3 linked regions of the Rattus norvegicus genome follow. The protein of the gene in region 1 interacts with the protein of each later gene in a biochemical or structural test. Links are inferred from orthologs where the notes say so. Each region holds a gene or a part of one and is shown on either strand. Other genes may lie near its edges. The genes, in order: Eif2ak2, Tarbp2 and Eif2a.

The links.
Region 2: the proteins of Eif2ak2 (region 1) and Tarbp2 form a complex in vitro, tested with the Homo sapiens proteins (2 studies listed by BioGRID, with this or other methods). The link is inferred for Rattus norvegicus from reciprocal best matches to the Homo sapiens genes EIF2AK2 and TARBP2.
Region 3: of the proteins of Eif2ak2 (region 1) and Eif2a, one has a biochemical effect on the other in vitro, tested with the Homo sapiens proteins (4 studies listed by BioGRID, with this or other methods). The link is inferred for Rattus norvegicus from reciprocal best matches to the Homo sapiens genes EIF2AK2 and EIF2A.

Annotation. Positions count from the first base shown.
Region 1 is NC_086024.1:21,972,053-21,974,928, forward strand, and holds part of Eif2ak2 (interferon-induced, double-stranded RNA-activated protein kinase), read left to right. Parts: intron 1-1,525; coding exon 1,526-1,627; coding exon of another isoform or gene 1,628-1,674; intron 1,675-2,687; coding exon 2,688-2,744; intron 2,745-2,824; coding exon 2,825-2,876.
Region 2 is NC_086025.1:135,526,245-135,530,576, forward strand, and holds the start of Tarbp2 (RISC-loading complex subunit TARBP2), read left to right. Parts: upstream 1-1,465; 5' UTR 1,466-1,568; coding exon 1,569-1,621; intron 1,622-2,141; coding exon 2,142-2,311; intron 2,312-3,465; coding exon 3,466-3,568; intron 3,569-4,107; coding exon 4,108-4,200; intron 4,201-4,332. UniProt on the Homo sapiens protein: Required for formation of the RNA induced silencing complex (RISC). Component of the RISC loading complex (RLC), also known as the micro-RNA (miRNA) loading complex (miRLC), which is composed of DICER1, AGO2 and TARBP2.
Region 3 is NC_086020.1:144,909,922-144,914,267, forward strand, and holds the start of Eif2a (eukaryotic translation initiation factor 2A), read left to right. Parts: upstream 1-1,438; 5' UTR 1,439-1,454; coding exon 1,455-1,482; intron 1,483-4,346. Other genes in the region: Serp1 (stress-associated endoplasmic reticulum protein 1), read right to left, coding at 466-541, 816-899. UniProt on the Homo sapiens protein: Functions in the early steps of protein synthesis of a small number of specific mRNAs. Acts by directing the binding of methionyl-tRNAi to 40S ribosomal subunits.

The sequences.
Region 1 (2,876 bases):
TAGTGAGACCTCAAGTCATGTGTTTTCTATTTAGGATTTTTTTGGCTCTCCATGGGTCTTTTATTCTTCCCTATGAATTTTAAGATTTTTTTTTTCTTCCTGTTAAGTATGTCATTGGATTTTTGATGGGGTTTATAGTGAACTTGTAGGTCACCTTTAGCACTATAATACTTTTCAATATTTTAATTCTGCTCATTCACCAGCATAGGAAGTCTAGGTCTCTCCGTGCAGCCCTGGCTGCTCTGGAATTCACTCTGTAGACCAGGCTGGCTCTAAGTCAGAGATCCACCTGCCTCTGCCTTCCAAGTGCTGGGATCAAAGGTGTGCACCACCAGGCACAGTATAATTTTTTGGAAGCTATTGTCAATAAGATGAATTGATTCTTTTAGCATATTCATCAATGAAACAGAAAAAAAACCTACTCATTTAAAAAGTTATTTCCTGTGTATGAACTTGCCTGTTTGAATGTATTTGTACCCACAGTTGCCAGGAGAGAGTGTCAGATCCCCTGGAACTGGAGTCAGATAGGCAAACCACCGTACAGATGCTGGGATTGAATTCAGGTTCTCTGCAAAAGTCGAGACCTGGGTGATCTCTCCAGTCCTAAACCAGGATTCTTAGATGTTGACTTTGTAGTCAGTTAGGAGTTTTTGTTAGAAAGTTTAGAGTCGGGGCTGGGGATTTAGCTCAGTGGTAGAGCGCTTGCCTAGGAAGCGCAAGGCCCTGGGTTCGGTCCCCAGCTCCGAAAAAAAGAACCACAAAAAAAAAAAAAAAAAAAAAAAGAAAGTTTAGAGTCTCTTATGTACAGGATTGTATTGTTTACAAATGAGGATTTGGCCTCTTTTCCTGTCTGAATTTCTTTTCTATCTTCTCTTGTCTGGTTACGAGTTCAAGAAGTAGATTGAATGTGGGTGGAGAAAGTCCATCCCGTTGTCTTACTCTTAGTGCTGGTGGAAATGTTCTTGGTTTTGCTCTTTAGTAAGTAATTAGCTGTAGGTTTGTTTTATAGCCTCTATTGTGTTCCTTCTATTTCTATGTGATGGTTAATCTTGGTGCTCAACTTCATGAGATCTAGAATAAATAGGCATTTTTTTTTGTTTTTTCCCCAATAATTTATTTATGTTGATTCACTTTAGATCTCGATCATAGCCTACACCTCTCCCAAGTCCAGCTCTTCCAAATCCCTTCTCCCATTATCCCCTGTCCTTCTCCCCAGAAAAGGGGAAGCTTCCCTTGGGCACCACCCACCCTGAGACATCTAGTCCCAGAAGGACTAGGCCTATCCTCTCCCTCTGAGGCCCAGCAGTTCATGTAAGGGAAGGGGAGCCAGTGCAAGGCTAAGGAGTCAGAGACAGCCGGCGCTCCAATCGATAGGGTACCCCCATGAAGACCAAGGTCACATCTGCTACAAATGTTCAAAAGCCATTTTAATGTAATATACCACTTATAGCTATTTTTTTTCCTCAAAAGGCATGGAGGCTTATATTAAATGAGTAACAAAGACACATGTATTTTTGGCTTTCAGTCATCGTTAGTGGAATATGGAAAGGAAGTGGACATCTTTGCTTTGGGCCTTATTCTAGCTGAACTTCTTCACATATGCAAAACTGATTCAGAGAAAATAGAGGTAAATATCCCAACAATGAATGAAGGAAGTGAAAGCATTGACAACCCGTAAGTGCTACGGTTATTGCCGTTTGGTGAGGGGGTGTATGACCACATTAGCTTCTCTTTCAAGTGTTGCCAGCCATTTTGCTCTAGATTGAAAAGTTTGGCTTTCTTTAGAGTATGTGCATAGCCCATAGGATTCCCATTCAAGTTTGCCAACCCAAATCTCACTGATTAGGGGGGAGTTTCTGCTCTAAGTGCTACCTGGATATAAAAAGGAGCAAGCCAGTTTCTCAAGTGATTCATCTTGTAAGAGGAAAGAAAGATAACATCAGAGAATGGCTATTTTTAGAAGACAGAAAAATCTTTCCAGAAGTCTGAATTTAGGTTTCATGGAAACATGTAGGCTGGGTACTGAAGGGTCAGGTTGTTTGTTTGTTTTGTTTTGTTTGTTTTTTGGAGGGGTTATTTAAAGGCATATGCATACATACACACAAAACATGTGTTTGCATGCTCTGGTATGCTCATAGCAGTCAGAAGACCTCTAACCAGAGTTAATCCACTCTAACAACCTGAAATAAAAAGCATGCTACCCCGCACGGAGATCAGAATGAGCAGTGTGTGTTGGGACTAACGGGCGGTGTAGTCTTATCTGAAGCTGGTGATTTCCCCAGGTGGGGCTGGAAAGAGTTTGGACTCTGTCGTGTAGATGGTGGGGAATCCCTGGAGACAGCAGGCGATTGGACATCCTAGTTGGAAACTCAGGAAAAAAAAAAAAAAGGCTTGCCTGGAGTCAAGAGCCTTATCTTCCCTAAAGTAGAGGTGATGGAAGGATGTACTGCCTAGCGTTCCGAGACAGAGGGACTGAGGGATGAGTTTCGTGCACTTCAAAGCACTGACTGTTGAGGATGCTCCTAGACTGGGGTAGGCTTGGGGAGGGGCATTTTGTCTGCTTCTTAGACTAAGGAAACCACCCTAAATTTTAGAAATCTAGTGTGACTCCAGCTATTCCTGTGTTTATAGTTTTTCTTCCTATGCAAACGACTGCTTAGTAAATACATTTATTCGTTGTATTCCAGTTTTTCCAACTTCTAAGAAATGGCGTCTTCTCCGATGATATTTTCGACAACAAGGAAGTGAGTACTTGAAAGCAGCCAGTTTAATTTTTTCCCACTCTTTTCTTTCCTGATAACTGACTCTTAACTCTAATTAACAGAAAAGTCTTCTACAGAAATTACTCTCAAGTAAACCCAGGGAACGACCCAATA
Region 2 (4,332 bases), on another chromosome or scaffold:
ACTCGACTTGAACTCCCGCTCCTTCCAAGGCCCCCGCCCCTGGCCCCCCGGGACGGACACGCCCTGAGCGGGGGATGCTGCGCTGGAGTCGCCGGCCTCTTAAAGGAGCCCGAGGCTGCCATCCGGCGCTCTCCAGGCTGGTTCCTGGCGGGCCACGACCCTGTGCCTCCTTCCTGGAGGTGTCCTACGGCAGTCCCACTTTGGTCCTCATGCGGATTCTGTAGGAACCCCTTGTGACCTGTCTTACAGACTCTTATATCTCGAGAGCGCAGCCCCTCAGTATACACAACGCTCTGGCACTGGTCCCTTGTCATACCGATATCTCCAGTTGGCCTTCCCTCGTCGCTGCTCCATTTTCACCCAATTGGAATCCACCCAGTCGTAGGTCCCTTCCCACCTCAGTGTTCCTGGTCGACCGATCGCTCATTATCATCTTTACAGATTCCTCTTACCTCTAACCCTATCCCTTCTTAGCAAGACATCTCATCCTAGACCCATTTGAATCGCGTTTTTCGTGGTATCTCTTTCTCCTTCTGTCCAAGGTCACAAGATTCCCCCTACTTCTTTCACTCTGGTGGTTATCAAGGCTTTGGGAAATCCAAAAGTACTCGTTCAGCTCTGCGCGTATTTTAGTTCGTTAGTTACTCTTGTGCTCTTTCAGCTGATACTAAACACAGCAGAATGTCCTCCTAATGATTCTCGGGCAGTTAAAGAGAGGTTCACTAGGGTCGATCTAAAGAGGCACAAACCCTGACAGGCTGCGTGAAGTTAGTGAAGAGAGGCGAAGAGCAAGCCACAGAAAAGCAACGGTTTTTTTTTTTCCTTTTTTTGACGCGGAGGGCTGAGGGTCCAAGATAATTATGCTCCAGCCTGAGAGACCAATTCTGAGGAAAACTCTGACTTACAAAACCCTACAGCTCTGGGGTGAGGGTGGCCAGGTGAGGCCCACCCTCTGGGGCAGCAAAAGGACTACGCCAGCAGCCTCTCTGCCAATTACAGCCTTTCCTCAAGAAGAAGGCTATACCTTTCCTCGTCTCCGCCCTCTGGGCCAAGTGACCAATCTGCAAACGCCTAGAGAAAGTCGCTCTCGGTAGAACCAATGAGGCAGCGAAGCCTGCAGTGGTGTCCGGATGGCACGTGGGCGCCTGGGATCTGTAGTTCTCTCTGGGAGACAGCCCTTACCGCCCCGCCCCCGGCCGCCTACACTCGGCCAGTACGCATGCTCACAGTCTCGGCTCGGGAGGAGGCGGTGCGCAAGGAGGAAGGCGGGGTGATATTAGAAAACAAAAACCACTCGTAGCTTGGGACGCTTCCGCGGAGGGTCTGCTCCTCCCAGAGGGCGGTGCAGATGCCCGGGCGAGCCTCGCTGAGGGTTGTGGGGCGGGTAGCTCGGATCCTGATGAAGACACAAGGAGTCGGGTGGGCGGGGGACTCCAGATCCCAGCATGCCCCGCGGCGGGCCCTACCGGCCGCGACTCCGGGCTTGGCCCCGGCCCTAGCTCGTCGGCGGTGTACTGGGGTGCGTGGAGACTGTAGTCACGGTGGCGCCCGCGGGGACGGAGGAGGGAATGAGTGAAGAGGATCAGGGCTCCGGCTCTACTACAGGCTGCGGGCTGCCCAGGTGAGCTGCCTCGCTTGGATTCCTGCAGGACGAAAAGTGTGAGGTGGTGCGGAGGGGCAGCGGCGCGGCCCCAGCATGCACCTGGCCTGAGGGTTGTTCCCAGCAAGCACTGGGGTAGTGGGCAGAGGTTCCCGGCATGCACTGGGGCTGTGGCCACAGCCTCCAGCTTTAGTTTGGGGTTGGCTTGATTCCCAGACTGCACTGGAGCCCTGGGCTTTATGCCCCGACGTTCAGTGTATTTGGTGGGTACTGGGTTTCCGAATTGCATTGTGCCAGGGGGAAATGCACGTCCAACCAGCACTACGGCACTGGATCCCTCGCCTTAATTGAGAACAGTACCTTCTCCACTTGCCTTGGGACTTTGCTTTCCCTCCTGCATCATAACTTTTAACCCAGTCGATGGATGCTATACTGCCTGGGGACTCATGAACCCTATAATGTGGCTAGGTCTAATATGACAGTGACTGGCCAGGTGGGTGCCGAAAGGGGAAGTGTGATGTTGGTCTGTGCCCCTCCCCAGCATAGAGCAAATGCTGGCCGCCAACCCGGGCAAGACCCCGATCAGCCTTCTTCAGGAGTATGGGACCAGAATAGGGAAGACGCCCGTGTACGACCTTCTCAAAGCCGAGGGCCAAGCCCATCAACCTAATTTCACCTTCCGGGTCACCGTTGGCGACACCAGCTGCACTGGTGAGGAAGGCCTGGGCAGCCTGGCTGGGGTGTGCATTCACAGGGCCCGTGGCTTAATATCATGGAATCACCTCACAGTCCTCTCCTGTAAGGCCAGGGAGGGATGGAGAGATTTCAGGGGGAAAGCCACCGTTTGGATTAAACAGGGCTGTGAGAAGGTGGACAGGACCTGAGAGACTCAGTGGCGAGAACTGGAAATATCACAGGGGTCTGCTACTTTATCACCTCAGAGGAAGACACTGTACTCTTTGTGGGGATTAGGGGGAGCAAGCACACACTCTGCCAGCCTTCATGCCTCACACTGAATGTGAAGAACTTAGTATGAGGGATCATCACATGGCTGGCTCATGTTCACATGCCTAATGTGTGGTAGAGCAAAGCTCAGAGTTTAGAACAGACCCTCTGCTGTCTCTTTCCCATTACTGAGGGAAGAGAAAAGAAGAAAGACAGAGTGAAACATCTCTCCCCAGCCCACCAGGGTTGGAGCTCAGAAGTTCTCCTGCCTGCAGGGTTTAAATTACAGGAGCTGACTGGAAGAGATGGGGTGTTCAAGTCTCATTTATGTTGCTGTAATAAGGCTCCTTAACCAAAAGCAGTTTAGAGGAGGAAAGGATTGATTGGTTTACAGTTCAGGTTATATTCATCATCGAGGGAAGCTAAGGTAGAAACTCACATTATCAGTCAAGACCAAAGAAAATAAACTCATCCTTGCCACCTCTGACCAGGGAACTCACTTCACAGCCATAGGAGCACAGCAGGAACAATGGTGGATACCCCATGCTGGTTGGCAGGCTTATTTATCTGCTAGGTTTCTTGCAGAGTTGAGGACCACTTGCCTAGGGATGGTGCCACAGTAGCAGGCTGGGCATATTTGCATCAATTAGCAGTCAACCCAGTCCCCCAGACATGCCCACAGGCCAGGCTGATTTAGGCAATTCCTCAGTTAAGGCTCTCCTTCTAGATGATCCTAGGCTGTGCCAAGCTAACTAGGACAAAGGCTATTCATTCCAATGATTAGAGCCTTTCCAGTTCTGACAGGGGAGGTTGGTCAGAGGACTGTTCACTCCTTCTGACTGTGTGAGAGAGACTGTGGGGGCTGGTTTCTCTGCTGTCCTGCCGGTGACCTCCAGTATTGCCCACACCCCTTTTCTTAGGTCAGGGCCCCAGCAAGAAGGCAGCCAAGCACAAGGCAGCTGAGGTGGCCCTCAAACACCTCAAAGGGGGGAGCATGCTGGAACCAGCCCTGGAGGACAGCAGGTGAGGGAGGAACAGCCAAGGCACACTAGAAGCCCTGCTGAGAACCCAGGCCTCTGCACTACCTACTTCTCTCCTAAGCCTGGTCTGGTGACTCACGGCCACCCTCTCGTGGCTCCTTCCTGAGAATTTCCTTTAAAGCTGAATAGGGTATTCTAGGATGCCTCAGGGTAATAGCCAGCCCCTTTGATGGGTGGTGGCTGCTCTGGGGCATGAGATAGGGCATAGGGGGTGGAGGCTAAGACTGATAAGTTAGTCCCGGCATGCCCCCTTTCTAGCAAGATGGGTTTCCCTCTTCCACATTCAGGTTGCAGCTTGTTGGGTAGGAAGAGACTCTCTTTTCTGAGCTCCCCACCCCTACCTCAGTGCTTCTGAGCCAGTGTGGGTCAGCAGAGGATCCCAGGAGGAAGAGCTGTTGTTGAGGCTCTCCGAGTCAACATCAGGGGGAAGGAGTTCTCAGGGGATGGAAAGGTCAGAAGGACCTCACACCCTCATTCCCTTCTACGTGGGTGTGAATCCAAGGCCCTCTTCCCCTCGGGAAGTTCTTTTTCTCTCCTAGACTCTTCAGTGCCTGAGGACACTGCTGTCATTGCTGCAGAAGCTGCTGCCCCTGTTCCATCTGCTTTACTAACCAGGTATCTTCAGTCCCCTGACATCTTGGAGGAAGGAAGGGGTCTTGGCTTCTAGTCTTATAGCCCTTGAACCCAGGCAGGTCAGGATGAGGAAGCTTGAGAGTAAACAGAGAATGGCATAATTGAAAAATTTGC
Region 3 (4,346 bases), on another chromosome or scaffold:
CAGGTTGTCTTAAATAACTAATTTTACCTGAAAACACTTGTCTCATACATTAAATTTTTAAACAGGTATGTTTCCTCTACAGAAAAATCAGTTCTTTGTGCTAGTCTTACTTTATATACTTTTTGACATAGAGACCTTGGATGCTGGTACCGTTCAGTCTTGCTTTAGTATCCAGATGTTCACAATGTTCGTTAAGTTATTTTTGATAGTTACAATGCAAATCACTCATGCCAAGAGTTATTTGGTGTTTAATTTCTTCTAAGGGATTATTAGGAAGATATAATCTCTTTTTTGATCTTCTATGAACACAAATCAAGATAAGAGAATTTCTGGGGCACCACACTCTGTGGTACAAGTAATCTGGTTCACTAGAAACAATTCTCAGCAGGTGGGTTGAAAACCACGCGGGTAAGACTCGTCACTCATCCACGTCATTCCAAACCACGAGAGCCCCCAAACACTTACCAGATCCACAAACGACAAAAATGAAGAGGGCCAATAACCAGGGTCCTACCGACGCCTTTTCTTCGGGGGCATTTCTCTGCAAAAAGAAAAACCCAGTTTCAAATGCAGAGAAACCACTCTCGGATCCCGGACTCCCATGGCCTGCACCCCAGGCCAGATGGCCAGACCAGCAACTCACAGATCTCTCCTCCCACCCTAGATTCCACCGCAGCGGGAGTCCGGAGTCAGGCGGGTCTGGAGAGAGCTAGCCGCGGCCATGGCCCCGGCCCCGGCCCCGGCCCCGGCCCCAGCCCCGGCGCGGGCCTCAGCCCCCGGCCCCAGCATGGAGAAGGGTGCCCGCTTTTCCTTACCGAGGTCTTAGCGACGTTGCCGCGCTGAGTTATGTTCTTGCTGTGCTTCTCGTTGGCCATACGGATCCTCTGCTTGGCGACCATCTTCGCGGCGCCACCTGCCCCAAGAACCTCTCGGACTCGCTCGCTTGCCGTTCCCCGGCCACCGGGAGGCTCGGCTCGCGGTGCCTACGCCGCCTACGGCCACTGGGCCGGGACGCCAAGCGCTGGAGCACCGGCAACCTCCGATCACAGCGGTCTGAGCAACCGAGGGGCGGCGCGCCGGAGAAAGAGGGCCGCAGGACCGGGAGGAAAGAGTCCAACCACCCGACAGTGCAGCCGGCAACCTCGAACTAGTTCGGGTTCGGCTGCCAACGTCAGCACTGGGCAGACCCCGCCCCGCGGAAGTATGGACTCCGCCCGCTCCAGAGAAGGAGGGCGAGGGCCGGCCGCCGCTGCAGCCAGGCCCTTCCACGCTCGGGAAAGCGAGGAGCCAGAGCTGCGCGTGCGCACTCGGAAACCGGAAGTGAATTGGCCCCGAGGCTGGCGGCGCCGGAAACACCAACTCGCAGTCACTGTGCTTGGGGAGACGTGTAGAGGCCGGGTTCGGCCTTTATTGAACTCTCACCCCAGCGCATGGGTTTCTCTTTCCGGGACAAGATGGCGCCGTCCACACCGCTGTTGACAGGTGAGTTCCGAAAGCGCGAGAGACTCTTTCTTTACAGTGGTTTCTTTCTGTGTCTTCGTGCTGGAGAATTACTTAGCAGACCTAGGAAGTCTGGCTTGCATTTTCTCCTGGAAGGACCAGACTGTCTTTTGGTTTATTTGACAATAGCACGCCAATGGGAAGTGAATTCTCCGTCTCCAATATTCCCTCCTCCCAGTTATCCATCCGTCGTTCTTCAACTTCTATAGGAATAGACAGGTAACAGAAAGTACGATTTTGATGTGTGACTTCTGGTCTGTAATACTGGTGCTGCTCGGACCCTTCTTAAGTCATCTGCCTATATAATAGAAGAAACGTGACTCCACATCATTTCATCTGAACTTAAGTAATTATGTTACTTAAAAATTATGTACTCCCTATTTTTATGAGGTTTGTGGAACTCGATAGGGAGCAAGGCATTGCTAGTATAAGTTAGATTTCATGATGAAGATTGGCTTAGGGTGGCAAAAGTAAGCAGGATAATGATAGTCTAATGTTTTCAGGTGAAGCAGTTGTGAGAATTGAAGTAGAACAGTAGAAGACTCTGGGAATTTGAAGCTGACACTGATTATGGTGCTTAAAAACAGGGCTGGAGAGATGGCTCAGCGGTTGGGAGCACTGACTGATCTTCCAGAGGTCCTGAGTTCAAATCCCAGCAACCACATGGTGGCTCATAATCATCTATAATGGAATCCAATACCCTCTTCTGATGTGTCTGGCAGCTACGTTATACTCATACATATAAAATAAATAAATAAATCTTTAAAAACAAACAAACAAACAAACAAACAAACTTGGACAACACCGGGAAAGGTGCTATGATATATTATGGTAGGGCTTGGGTGTGTAAGTTTGAATAAACAAAAGAATTCAAATAGAAAAGAATTGGGAAAGAAAAAAAACGTTGATAACAATGTAGGAAGAAAGATAAAATCACTAGGACATAAGTCTTACTTTTGTGAATTGGAAGTTACGTCCTTCTGAGCCATGGCAAAACTGTTATACTTCTTGCCAGTCTAGGAATACACTTTAAGATCCGTGCTTACTCGTGTTCAGTTAGACTACCATAATTTATTCACCAAATATTTATAAAATGCTAGTTATAATCTTCTAAACACTACACCCGACAGATTGCTTTCTTATATTTAGATTTATTTATTTATTTGTGTGTCTGTATCTGAGCATGTACACAAGAGCGCGGGTCTTTTTTTTTTTAAACATGTATTTATTATGTATATATCATACAGCTTTCTGCCTGTATGTATGCCTACAGGCCAGAAGAAGGCACTAGATCTGATTTTAGATGGTTTGAGCCACCATGTGGTTCCTGGGAATTGAACTCAGGACCTCCGAAAGAGCAGACAGTGCTCTTAACCTCTGAGCCATCTCTCCAGCCCAGGAGCACAGGTCTTAAGAGTACCAGAAGAGAGTGTGGGCGTCCCTGGAGCTGGAGTTAGAGTTGTGGGCCTCACCTTAAGTGAGTGCTGAGAACTGAACTTATTTCTTCGGGAAGAAAAGCAAGTACTCTTAATGCTGAGCCATCTCTCCAGCCCTCTGACACTATTTAAATGGCATGATTTTGTAATTAAATCAGTTGTTTCTCTAATTTCATAAAGATAACTTTGTTTAGAGGTTTAATACTAACTGAATATTTAAATTTTACTTTAAAAAGCGATTAAATGTTCTGCCCTTCTGAGGCAGTGTAAAATCCATCCTCTTTAGCCCAGCATATGGATCTCTTACAATCCTAGAACAGCTCTTGACATATTGCATGGGCATCCCGCCTTATTTTGTGTCCCATTAGTACTGAGTTGTCACAGCCCTTTAAGCTATTCTTTGGAATTATCCTATTCTTTCTGTTGACTTGGCACGCTACTTAAAGCAATTTCCCACACTTTCTGGACGGTTGCTTTGTGAGCTATTTTTCACTACTTTTCCACTTATCACGAAGGAAATTCTGTTTGTTCAGCTATTTTCCTTCCCTGATAGACTGTTAAATTCTTGATGTTTGGGGTAAAGTCTTATTCATCTCTACCTTTTCAGCACCTAATGCAGAACCCAGTAAAGGACACTAAACTAATTAACTAATGAAGAGTAGATTGTATTTAATCAAATCAACAGAGTAACAATTTTTCTCACAGGAGTCTAAGTTAAAGTCTTTGTTCTGACACACTCTCATAGTATCATATTCTTAGATACCCAAAGATTACTTGGCCAGATTTACATTACATATTTGCAGTGTCAGGATTATACCCAGATATTTCCATTCCATGGTCTATTATCTACCAGTAGAACACAGTTTACTCTTTCAACCATTCTTAGTTTTAAGTAAAATTTTAAAATCCTAAATCTTGTTTAATGTATATTTCCAAGATTTATAGACCTGTAAGTAATTGTAGCTTAACAGTGAATTTTATTGTTATGACTCTAAGTCAGAAATAAGAAAAGACCAAAACACGTGAAACTTGAGTTTTTAAACACTTGTTTTAAAAAGCTTTAATGTTAATAAATTTAAGTATTCACATAACCAAAAAATACCTATTTTCTCTATTTCCTGATTCTTGCTTTTCTTTTATTAAAGGAGACAGATTTATCCTCAGGCAGATATTCAACCAGCTAAGTGACTCTAAAGAAAAGAACTTTTCTTTATTTGGCCAGCACTCCCAACAGAAATCCCAAATTCTTTCCTTTAGAGAGTGTGTTTTATGTGGGTCTTGTTTTTCCTCTTGTTGCTGTTTTTTCTTATCTCTGTTATTTTGGCATTTACTATCTGCCCTAGGATGAGGTATAGATCTTAAATACAAATTGTGTAGGAAACCCCTTTGGTTGTCTAGAATATCCTGAGT